2 linked regions of the Macaca mulatta genome follow. The protein of the gene in region 1 interacts with the protein of each later gene in a biochemical or structural test. Links are inferred from orthologs where the notes say so. Each region holds a gene or a part of one and is shown on either strand. Other genes may lie near its edges.

Region 1 (6,151 bases):
ATTCTGTAATGAGTTTAAAAATGTAGTTTCATCCATACAAGAATTTTGATAACTCCATTTGATTCTGTTTTTCCATAAGCTTATCAGATAGCAATATATCCAACATTAGCCTAATAAAATTACTGCATATGTATTCTTTATTGGACTATGCATATTCCCAAACATATTATTGTCATACAACTGAGGGAAAAATGTAAAACTATATCCCAAAATATCTGGGAAATGAAAAATTATAAATTCTCAAAACGATACACAGGAAAATGATTTACAAAGAAAAAAAAGGAAAACTGAACTTAGTATCTTTCTACTTTAAAGGGGTTCAAGAATTTAGGAGTAGTTCCACCTCCTAAAATCTTGGAAAAGAGGCTATGAACTCACTTCGCAAAGGGTTCAGATACTCACATTGTGTCCAAGAGACTCAGCAATTGGGAACCTTGCCGGTTAGATTCATAAAGCAATCCCAAAGCCAGAATGCATTCCTTTAGGGGTGGTTTCTAGATGTTTACTCTAGATATTTTTAAAAGATTTTGTTTATTTTTGATGCGAAGAAAGAAAATTATTATAGAATCTAGAAATAAATATTGGCTTTAAAAGTATTAATTTGACTTGTCCTTTGTAATTGTGATCCGAAATACCTCACAGTAATTTTGTTTCAGTGTTATTTTCTTCTCAGGAGGAAAGGAATGTTAAAACCCTTACTAGCAACTAACACTTGATAAAGATTTAAACTATATAATAATTTTAAAGAAAGTCTAAAACACCAGATAGTCTTGAAACCTCGCATGCTTCACCGTTTAATAAAATCATGACTCATTTTAGTAAGAACATGCTTTTTTAGTAAGAAAAAATGCTTTCTGAGCTAAGTTTGAACTGCTGGGGCACATGGGACACCCACAAACCCAGTCAGCAGAAGTCTCAAACTCCTAAAAGATTAAAGGAAAAATACATTAGTGTGTACAGAGAATGAAAAAAAAAAAATCCCCAATGGTTCTAATCTATAAACGGAAGTAAAACTAAAACTCCCCTAAAATCCCCCCAATCATCAATCCTTATAAATTCAGCACTTATCTTCTTCCTTTACTTCTGGAGACCCTCATTAAACAACACGAAAGCCTTTGCTGATTTTATCTCGTAAAATAGAGCGCTCAAATGACACTAAGCAGGGATACCGACCCCCAAAATCACAAACTGTTTTACTTCTAAAACCACGCATGCAAACGTAGGGTTTCCTGAGTTCTGCTAGGGGCGGGCTCTCTGGACCCCCGAGTTTTTTTTTTTTTTTTTTTTTTTTTTTGCAGGTGTGCAATCCAGGGCGTGTGCGCTGTGCAGGGAGGGGAGCTGAGGTGTGCTGTGGGCATCGCCTGGGCCGGGCGGGGCGGGGTGGGTGGGGCCCGGGTGTGGGCTGGGGAGAGAGTGAAGGACATGTGACAATACGACGGTGGCGGCTGTAGGATCCGGGAGGGGAGTGAAAGCTCCGCCGGGGCGCTCCATTAGAGAGCGGTGATAGCTGCCGCCCACTTGTATTGAAGCGTTCTTTGTCACTAACAAGTTAAATTATAGATGTTATTTATTTAAGAAGGAAAAAAAACTCTAGCCAAACATCCTACGAACACACATGCTCCCATCCCCTACTCCTCCAACTCCTAATTTCCCCGTCTCCAGAGGGCACAGTTGTAAACCTTGACGAAAATCCAATCTTCTGTGCAGGAATTTCCCCCCACCGCTTGCCGCCCCCGCGACCGTGAGTGGGAGCTGGAGGAGCTCGGGTCCCGCTGCCCTGGAGCACGCGCAGCCGGGCGACCGCGGTGCGGCGGCCGGGGAGGAGGGGAGGCGGCGGGACTTGGCGCGGGTCGGCCCCGCCGCGGCCGGGAGCGGGGTTTGCGCAGGAAAAGGCGCCGCCGCGGCCCCCGGCCGCCCCTCCCCGGCCCCGGGCTCCCCGCCCGCGCGCCTCCCGGGCCTCGCGGCGCGCTAGGCGCACCCCGGCGGCGCGAGCGCCGAATGGGAGCTGCCGCCCTGCCGGCCCGGCAGCCCAGCGGGCGGCAGCCAGGGCGACCGCGGAGGCGGCGGGCAGGGCGCGTGCGCACTGCAGGGGCGCCAGATTTGGCGGGAGGGGGAGTGTCCAAAGCTCTTTGTTTGATGGCATCTCTGTTTACAGAGTTTACACTTTAATATCAACCTGTTTCCTCCTCCTCCTTCTCCTCCTCCTCCGTGACCTCCTCCTCCTCTTTCTCCTGAGAAACTTCGCCCCGGCGGTGCGGAGCGCCGCTGCGCAGCCGGGGAGGGACGCAGGCAGGCGGCGGGCAGCGGGAGGCGGCAGCCCGGTGCGGTCCCCGCGGCTCTTGGCGGAGCCCCGCGCCCGCCGCGCCATGGCCCGAAGACCCCGGCACAGGTAACGGGGAGCCCGGCGGGCGGTCGAGGGCGGGGGCACGCGGGGGCGCGCGGGGCGCCAGGCTACTGGGAACAGGTGGGAATTCGTTCCGGGATCGTCTGAGGGGCTGTCAGACCCTGCGAGGACCTGGAGCCCCTGTCTCGGCAGCAGAAGCAGCTCCAGAGACTGATGAATGGAAGAGTCTTTGCGGGAAATGTATCCGGAGGTTGGGAAGCACGCCCTGCGGCTCATTTTGCAAGTTGCATGGGGATACATTTTTATTTAGGGGGAAAAAGAAAGCAGCACGTTCCAGCCAGGGACAGAGCGGTGCCCTCCAGCCCCGGGGACCCTACCAGGTGCCTGGCTTGATGCCACGGGTGTCGGCGACGGATCCGCAGCGTAATTGCTGGATGCATTGAGATATGTTTGGACTTGGAAGTGCAGAGCATATGGCAGATACAGGGAAAATGCTGGATTGTTTAGTAGCTGCAGGTAGTTCATTTAAATTTCATTCATTCTTTATGGAGGCGAGGACCAGTGTCAGCTGACAGGCGGCTGAAAAGCAGATTTTAGGGGGATAAAGGGGTCTCTACTTTTGCAAATTGTCTTGAGACCTGGTTTTGGAGGTTCGAACCATTATTCTGTGAAAGGCTTTTATTTCCACTGCAAACATTGCATGCGCACCTACACATGCCGGCGTCGCACATGTCACTGCACTTAGGCAGGCTCGCTGGGAACATGGATGCAATCCCCTCACATTTTTGGCCGGACAGATGGGAAGAGGGAGAGGAGGAGGAGGAGGGAAATCCTCGTCCGAACTGTCAGTTGCTGGCTCCCCAGCCTCCACCGGCCTCTGGACTTCCCCAGCAGCACACGCTGGGGGCTCCCTGCCAGCGGCGGGTGCTGGGGCTAGCTCGGCGGCTGTTGCAGTCGCCACTCGGCTCAAGGGGACCGAGGCCGGCAGCACCTAAGGACGCTGCCGCGCAACCGGGACGCGATCCCCGCGAGCTCTGCCCCCAGTCGAGAGGTCCCTGCGCGGCGCGCACACGTGGGTGCGACTGAGGTCGCCGCGCCTCCTCGCGCCCTCCTTCAGCCGCCTTAGGTCGCCCCGGCCGAGGCGCGGTGACCGGACGGACCCTCGCGAAGGAGTTCTAGGGAGAAGTCCGTGGAGGCAAAGCAAATCCTTTCGCCTTTCCTTAGGTTATTTTATTTTCTCCTACTGGTTTGTTGTTGAGCCTGCGGGCGCTGGTCCCCGCGCGGCGCTGAGAAGTTGCAAAGAGCGTGGGTGGAGACCCTGCAGCAGCAGGCGGGGAGCAGCGCTGGGGCTTGACTGGGCTCTGAGGACTAGAGGGCGACTTGGGGGAGCCCCGGGCTCCCTATGCCTCCCCCGGCGCCTGGTGGCGCGGGGCAGGTGCTGCCCTCGAGGGCTCCACTTTTCGCCTTTAGGACTTAACAGTACAGCTACTGGGGTCGTCTGTATTTTTTTTTTTTTTTTCCGAGACCTGAAACTGGCAGCGGGAGGAGTGAGTCGGGCAGAGGTGCTGGGAGGAGGCGCGGCAGAGGCTCCGCGCCCCGAGGTCTCGGCCGCCCCCGCGGGGCGGGGCCGCGCAGGTTCCCTGAGGCTCCAGGTAGCCCAGAGGGGAGGCGGCCGGGAGGGGCGGGAGCCTTGAACCTGCCTCAGGGGGAAGAGAAACCCGACTGCGGGCTCGGAGCCGTTTCTTGCAAGGGCGAGCGTCAACTCGGCAGGGATTATATTAACCAGGTCAGCGAAATGAGTTTGAACCCCTCCGAATCACAGTAGCGGCCACAAGGCACTTCCTCCCGCTCCCCTCCCTCTTCCCAACCCCCAGCACCTCTTTTCTTTTTCGTTTCTTTGCACGGTTTGTTTCCTTGACAGAATGTAATATTCATAGTTGTACTCTTGTAACCACACCGGGTCTAGCAGGTGGGGAGTAGAGTGCATCAACCCTGAAATCAGCCTTTGAAAGTCCTCTGACTGTTGGGTCTGAGATCTCGTCAGAGCAGATAAAGCAAAAGTTATTTCAGGTTCCTTAGAAGAAATTAATCATGCTACTAGGACGACTTAGAGCAAGCAAATCGCATGCAAAGTTCAAAGGCGAGCCTGGGTGCCCAGCCTGGCAGGGAGACTCAGGAACTGGGCGCGTGAGCAGCCCCGGACTCGCCCTGCTGCGTCCTGGCCCCTTCAGGTCCCGCAGAAGTCATTCTCCACCTTGCCCCCAAGACCTTGGTTTTGCACATCTTTGCTCCTGTGCTTAGCTTTTAAGAGGCACGGAAAGACATGGGGGGGTCATGTATTAGCGCTGGAAAGTACCTTAGAAATAGGATCCAAGCAAGCCCTTATGTAAAGGCGGGGAACTGAAGTCTTGAGAGAGAGGAAGTGATTTGTCCAAGTCATACAGCAAGGTGGAGGCTAGACTAGAACCTTTGCCTCCAGAACCCTAGTCCTGTTGATTCCCGTGCTCTCACCTGACGTTGGCTGCCCCCTGCGGGCGGCTGAATAGGTTGCTTGTTCCTGGGTTGTTAAAACTGCTGCCGAGAGAGAGAGGTGCTCAATGACTGCTCTGAAAAATGTCCTCAGTTCTGAAAATGTGACCTCTAGATCCAGCCAAACCTGAAAAGTTAATTCGACTTGAATCTATGACTGCAGTTTCAGATTCCTCTGGTTTTCTTGGTGTCTCTCACATTTCACAAGGGACTGCATTTGGGGGCTTTCCAAGGAGTTCCCTGTGAATCTTTCAAAAGATGCAGGCTTACACCTCTGGGCTTTATAGCTTTTTTTTTTTTTTTTTTTTTTTTTTTTTTTTTTTTTTTTTGCTTTATCATGTTGTGTTTTATATTTTTGTAATTCTTGTTCAGAAGTTGTTTAGTGCCTCCTGTTGACAGTGGAAACAGAACTAGGCTATTGTTTCAAAACTAAATGAAGGGAATTATTACAGATTATAAATATATATTTCCTGGAGTTTTATTTGGTGGTGGTGATGGTATTTTAAATTTGGATTACATCATGTCACCATACAACCTGGGCTATCAAATTGTTGCTTAAAATAATAGCTTTAAATTATGAGAACCCCCAATTCAGGATTTTTGGTAAGCACTTTAGCTTGACTTGTAGGGGGCTGGTAATATGCATATGTGAGTTAGTTTGGGAAGACAAAACCTGTAATGAATATAACTTTTCTTTTTTAAAAACTATTTACATTATGACATGGCTTTATATCATTGTTTTTATTGGTCTTAGTTCAATGGGTTTCTCAACATTTCTATGACAAATTTTAGTGAAGTTTCTAAGATAGTGTTTTTCCTATTTTTATAAGAAAAACTATAAAATAAACTGTAAAATTATTGTCATCTAATCAGTATGTGATTAATAAACAGTAAGCATAGAGTTACATCTTCAAAAGTCATCAAATTTCCTAGGTTAACTAAATAAAAGAAAAAGCTTTTGAAAATAGTAATGGGTTCTTTTAAATCCATGGATTTCTTCTGGGGAAATCCCTTCTGGATTAGGTTACGTTTTATAATATTTCAAACACTGTTCTGTCAGAGACAGAAAAAACAAGAGTAAGTAAGACTCTAACAAGTGGCCTAATTATTCACTTAGTTTACTCTAGAAACTAAGTATTGTAAACATGGGCACAAGTTGGATCAACCAGGCCTGGAGTTGTGAGCAATTTGGTTTAATTTTATTTACAAAACATTAAATTTTGATCACTCAATGTTCTTATCTTTCCTTAGGTTTTAAAATCCTTTCCTCTTAGATTC
Region 2 (5,914 bases), on another chromosome or scaffold:
CAAGGAGCTTACAAGGTTTGTCTTGTAGTCAGTGACACAAGACAAACCTGAAATAAGATGGTGCACAGAGGTGTACTTTAAGTACATGAGACAAACTCCATAGGTGGTAGAGCAGTCAATCAAATAACTCTAGAATGGATTCAAATCAAATATATTTGGGCTTTCATATATCAGAGATTCAGAGTACCCACTAGCAGAACGTTTGCTGTGTGAGATGTTTCAGCACTCCAGTTCTTTATTGCCCCCTTCCTTAAAAAAATAAATAAAATTTAAAAATCTTCCCTTGCCACCTAAGTTAAAACTGCTACAAGTCACATCACTTTTTGATAGAAATGTAAGTGAAAAATGCCTTTTGAATATATTCAAGAATGCTGCAACCCATTTCCCTTTCAGTATCCCTAGTTTTTAGCATTGTATGTAAGGCACTAAAAAAGCCAGCAAGCATCCACATCTAACAGGCTCCAAACAAGTGCTAAAAGTTATTAGTAAATCAATGACAAAATTTAAACCAAGGAACAACCATTTTCCTGTCTGCTCCATCCCCCAACCAAAGCTTGGAAATCCTCAAGAGTTAGGCAAGAATAGGAAGTTCACAGTTAAACCTCTTAGATACTCTGTGGAAGGGACAGAGGAAGGCAGGAACAGGCGGGTCCCTGAGCAGAATGACCGAGGCACCATTACCAGCTATACTCTTTCCCACCTTGAATCCCACACACTTTGGAGAAAGGGCTGCGCTGCAGCAGAAACTTCCTTGGGGATTAGCTGAGAAAATACTGGACTCTACTAGCTTTTTTAAAAAATGGATGAGATCACTTAGTAGCCTAGATTGTCAAATCTGAAATATAAATAAGATGGCCAGTTAAAATGCATAAACGATGCGCCCATCAATTTTAGCCTCAAAAACAATAACGAAAGGAGATATTTACCGGGCCAGTTCCAAAGAGTTCATTTTCCTATGGTAATGGGGGCTTTTCTAGACAGTAACAAGAATCAGTTTTTGAATGCACTGAAAATATCAATTCATCTATCCAAAGTGTAATCATTAGTCCTTGGGAGAAAACCCAGTTCATTCTAGTTTTGACAGGAATAAACATATTTTATTATAAACTACTAATCTTTTTAAGGTTAGACCAAATAGACCAAAATGTTATATTTAAGAAGCCCTTAGGCTTTTACAAATGTCCTAGCACTAGCAAAAGTAGTGTCATTTGTTTAAAAAGTATTATTTCCTACTACAGCAACTGACCAACAGATAATAGGAACTTAAGAGGCACTAAATGACACTAAAACATTACACTGAATGTGGGCCACTGCATAGCTAGTCTACTAACCTCATTTGTGGTACTCATGTGTGATGCTATATTTAATGCATTCTTATCAAAAGGCTACAGCTACATACTTCCCAACTGTAGCTCCATGGTTTAAAATAAACCACTCAAGCAATGATCTTAACTGGTTCAACTATGAATCCTATCTTTCTTCTCGAGATCAAGATCACAAAATAAGGAGTGAAAAGACAGAAGGATAGGAAAGTAGTTATGCAAAGTATATCGTAATGACAAGAGTATTATAAAGGAATTCAGTTTGGATCAGTTGCTAACACTTAATGCCACTGGGCAACCGATCCAAACTAAATCAAACACACGAAATGACCAAGGTCTTTGTAGGAGTTAGTATTCCATACATTCATCTACTGATGCTGTGTTCAGTGGCTTGCTTAGGTTCTAACAGAAAAGTTTGGTAGACAGCAAACTTATGTGTGTTGCTCATGAGAAGGTGCTCCACCAAAACTTGCCATGAGCCTAGACAGCCAATGCATTAGGCCTAGACAGCCAATGCATTACCACTTTAGTGAAGGTGGCTTCCTACAGTTGGGTTGAGAAGCTTGCTCCACCTTGGTCAGCATGGAGAAAACCACGAGGGATGCACTCACCCAATCACAACCATCAGAAGAAACCATGAGAGGTTGTGTTTTTCTTTGGATACTCACCAGACAACACCAAAGGCTCCATATCCAATAGGTCTATCCGGCTCAATATCCAGCTGCTGTTGTGGATGATGCGAGTGCTGATGATGGTGCGCCTTAACTGTAGCAGCTGCGGCAGCCTGTACCTGAGCTGGGGCTGCTGCAGCTGGTCCAGGAGCCTGCCCCGGTGCCGGTGATGGGAAATATGGCTGTTGTTGCCCAGGGTTTAACATGGCTGCAGCTGCAGCCGCTGCTGCGGCTGCCGCAGCTGCCGAAGAGGTGTGCTGCTGTACAGGGTGTACAGCGGCAGCCGACCCCGGATGAAGATGGTGTTGAGGGTGGTGGTGGTGGTGCAGGTGAGGAGGAGGGAGGTGTGGAAGGTGGTGGTGATGGTGGTGGTGGTGACCTGCTGCTGCTGCAGATGTACCGCCATTGTAAGCCGCCATCATTTTTGCGTTGGCTCTTGCGCCACAAAGAGACATTCAAAATAAATGCCCTTTGATTGGAAAGCAAACTGGGTCAAGCTGTCATTTGGCCATTTAAAAATGAAGAAAAACCACTCACTCCACCTCAAAAAACATAGAGCGTAACTGGCTTTATGTCTTCATCAGTCAATCCAAACAAGTTAGAGGATCTTGGTGTTTAATTTTGGGGTGAGCGTGTGTGGAAGGGTGTGGGTTGCCAAAAGGAAAAAAAAAAGGAAAAAAGAAAAGAAAAAGGAAAAAAGGACCCCTTCCCCCCAGGATTCCTGCCACAAGTGGGTACTAAAACTCCATTCTTAATTTGGGGGAGGTTCCAACTTTGAATGTGGGAATAAAGGCCAAACCTCCCGACCCCCTGAACTCCACACACGAAAAGGATCAGGTAACACACCACCCTTGGAATCTTGAAAGAGGGTTGAATCATCTACCCCTTCCATTCCCACATCCTTTTCTAAACACCTACCACCTCCTCAAAAACAGGATTAAAAAAAATTCCCACTACCCTAAATGGAGAAGATGGGGGGAAATTTTCTGGGAAACCAGCTTCCAGCGTCCCCCCCCCCTCGAACTCTCAGGCCTTCCTACATCTCCCCCTACTCCTAGTCAGGTTGACCTGATTGGGGAGGGGGGGGCGGGGGTTCTAAACTTTCCTGGGCAGAATGAGCCAGGGAAGGAGGCTGGAGTGAGGAGAGGAGGCGACAGCAGGACAGAGAGGAGAAAGAGAGGTAGGGCAAAAGTGAAGGGAAGGAGGTGCAAGGAAGAATGAAAGATGTGGGCAGCGCTCGGACGCCTAGACAGCGGGAACCGCCCCGGGAGAAGGTTAGGGTCCCGGGGCCAAAGAATAGGAGCCCCGGGAGGCGGGCGGAGTACGGTCGGAAGCGGGCTGACTCCTGCCCCCGCCGCCGGCTGCTTCTGCTGAGGAGGGTTGGGGGGGAGAGCGGGTGGGTCCCCCGCGCGACGGCCCCTCAGGGCTCAAGGCTGCTCCGTCTCCCCCCCTCCCCCCCACCCGGCTTCCGTCCCCGCGGCCGCTTTCTCCTCAGCCGCCGCGGCCGCTTTCTCCTCAGCCGCCGCCTCCTCAGCCGCCGGTGCCGCCGCGGCCGGACTCACCTCCCCTAGCAAAGCCGGATAGACCGGAGCCAGCGGCGGACACGCGCAACCAGCCGCCGAGGCCCCGCCCCCGCCTTGCACTGACCGGCTGCCCTAGCCAATCCACGCCCACCTGTCCGCTACCGCCTCCAATCCTGGGCCAGGAGCTTCAGACAGGCGCACTGTTCGGCCAGTGGCAACAAGGTGTGGGTCTTCTGGGGAAATCCCGCCCCCGATCCGGGATGGGCAGATAGAAAGACCAATCAAAGGCAGAGTTTGGCTTGACCGACACGGCTTAAAGCCAATGAAAAAGCAAAGATCTTTGTGACATTTTTCTTTCGCCTCTCTCCTCTTTTTTCTTCTTTTATTATTTATTTATTTTTTGGCAGGAGCAGGAAGCTGCGTGCTAATCCCGCCTGCAAAAGCTGGAAGAGAGGGGCGGAATGAAAGAACCAATCATGAGCCAGAGGCAAAGAACAGAGTAACCAATCCTTGGGTTGAAAATGAAGTATGCGGGCACCTGGGCCAGATAGACACTTGACCTGACAAATGGAAAAAAAGATTGATGTAAGTCCCACCCTTTATAGCTCCTCTAGGACAGGATTGTGGAGAATTTGCTGTCATATCGAGACAACCTCTTCCAGGGGCGGGGCTTAGGAAAGGGGTGGGGTCTCAAAGTGGGCGGGACCTAGACGAAGAAGGCGGACCCCAAATCACCACTGGTCCACCGATCCCCGAGCCGTCTAATATACCACTTAAGATGTAAAGTGTGGGGCAAAAATAGGGGAAGAAAAAGGGAATGCTGAGCTTCAGAAAGTCAAGGTCCAAGGTCACTCAACAAGAAGACAGTCACAAAAGAAATTCAGTAGACTGACAGTTCATAGTCTACGGCCGGTCCTCTCCATGGTTAATCCTGATCTTGGCAAAAAGAGGAGGAATCTCCAGCATTCAGAACTCCACTGTCAACAGATGATAAAGTTGTTGGTGCAAATTAAAACAAAAAAGTAAACTTGGCCACAAAAATAATACTTTTCTTCCATCTTTCTTTCTTAACAGGGTTACGTTCTGTCACCCAGGCTAGACTGCAGTGGCACAGTCCTAGCTCGTTGCAGCCTCCAACTCCTGGCTCAAGCAATCTTCCCGCCTCAGCTTCCCAAGTAGCTGGGATTACAGATGTGCACCACCATGCCCGGCTGATTCTTTAATTTTTTAGAAACAGAGTCTCAATATGTTGCCCAGGTTGGTCTCAAATTCCTAGGCTCAAGAGATCCTCCCACCTCCCACCTTGGCCTCCCAAAGTGCTAGGATTACAGGCGTGAGTCACCGCCTCCAGCCTCTCCCATATTTTCTATCAAGTAAGTTTCTGTCATTGAAATCTTACTAAAATAGCATCTTTCCTTTACATCACTTGATTTATCTGAATTTACCCTTCTTTTAAAATGTGAAATAATAAGCTTACAGAACCTTATCCCTACCGAAACTGCATAGTTTACTCAGAAACTTGGAGGTCATCTTCAATTCCTCCTTTGCCTGTCCACGTTGTCCCTTCCAATCAATCAATCATCAAGTCTTTTTTTTTTCTTTCTTTTTTTTTTTTTTTGGTGAAGGGACATGGTCTCTGTTGCCCAGGCTGGAGTGCAGTGGCGTGATCACAGCCCACTGCAGCCTCTACCTGTTGGGCTCAGGTGATCCTCCCACCTCAGCCTCCCAAGTAGCTGCAGGCACACACCACCACACCTGGCTAATTTTTGTATTTTTTTGTAGAGATGGGGTTTTGCCATGTTGCCCAAGCTGAATCATCAAGTCTTAAACAATTTTAAATCCCTCTCACTTCTGCTTCTTCCCAGTCACACAGCATTTACCCAAATTTACACCACTAACATCTTTAACCATTTCCCTGCCTACAAGCTAGCTCTCCTTTGATCCATCCCCCTCTGGGGGCATAGTAAATTTTAAAAAATACAAATCTGAGACCAGGGGCAGTGGCTCACAACTGTAATACCAGCACTTTGTGAGGCCAAGGTAGGTGGATCCCTTGAGCTCAGGAGTTCAAGATCAGTCTGGGCAATGTGGCAAAACCCTGTGTCTACAAAAAATACAAAAATTAGTGGTACACATGTCTCTAGTCCCAGCTACTGAAGAGGCTGAAGTGGGAGGATAGCTTGAGCCAGGGAGGTAGAGGCCGCAGTGAGCTGAGATCCCACCAGTGCACTCCAGCCTGGGTGACAGTGAGATCCTGTCAAAAAAAAAAAGGCTGGCTGTACCCTAAATAGCCTGGCATGATCTGGTTTCCGCCTACCTACCTCAAGGGTCTTATCTCTCCCCTCCACTCTCTACACTTCAGACATTCTGAACTTCCTGCAGCTCCTTGAATGCTTTC

What was found.
Region 2: of the proteins of MYB (region 1) and NLK, one has a biochemical effect on the other in vitro, tested with the Homo sapiens proteins (2 studies listed by BioGRID, with this or other methods). The link is inferred for Macaca mulatta from reciprocal best matches to the Homo sapiens genes MYB and NLK.

The regions. Positions count from the first base shown.
Region 1 is NC_133409.1:40,273,584-40,279,734, forward strand, and holds the start of MYB (transcriptional activator Myb), read left to right. Parts: upstream 1-2,159; 5' UTR 2,160-2,366; coding exon 2,367-2,389; intron 2,390-3,994; exon of another isoform or gene 3,995-4,130; intron 4,131-6,151. UniProt on the Homo sapiens protein: Transcriptional activator; DNA-binding protein that specifically recognize the sequence 5'-YAAC[GT]G-3'. Plays an important role in the control of proliferation and differentiation of hematopoietic progenitor cells.
Region 2 is NC_133421.1:36,729,063-36,734,976, reverse strand, and holds the start of NLK (serine/threonine-protein kinase NLK), read right to left. Parts: upstream 3,578-5,914; 5' UTR 3,547-3,577; exon of another isoform or gene 3,355-3,546; 5' UTR 2,449-3,354; coding exon 1,991-2,448; intron 1-1,990. UniProt on the Homo sapiens protein: Serine/threonine-protein kinase that regulates a number of transcription factors with key roles in cell fate determination. Positive effector of the non-canonical Wnt signaling pathway, acting downstream of WNT5A, MAP3K7/TAK1 and HIPK2.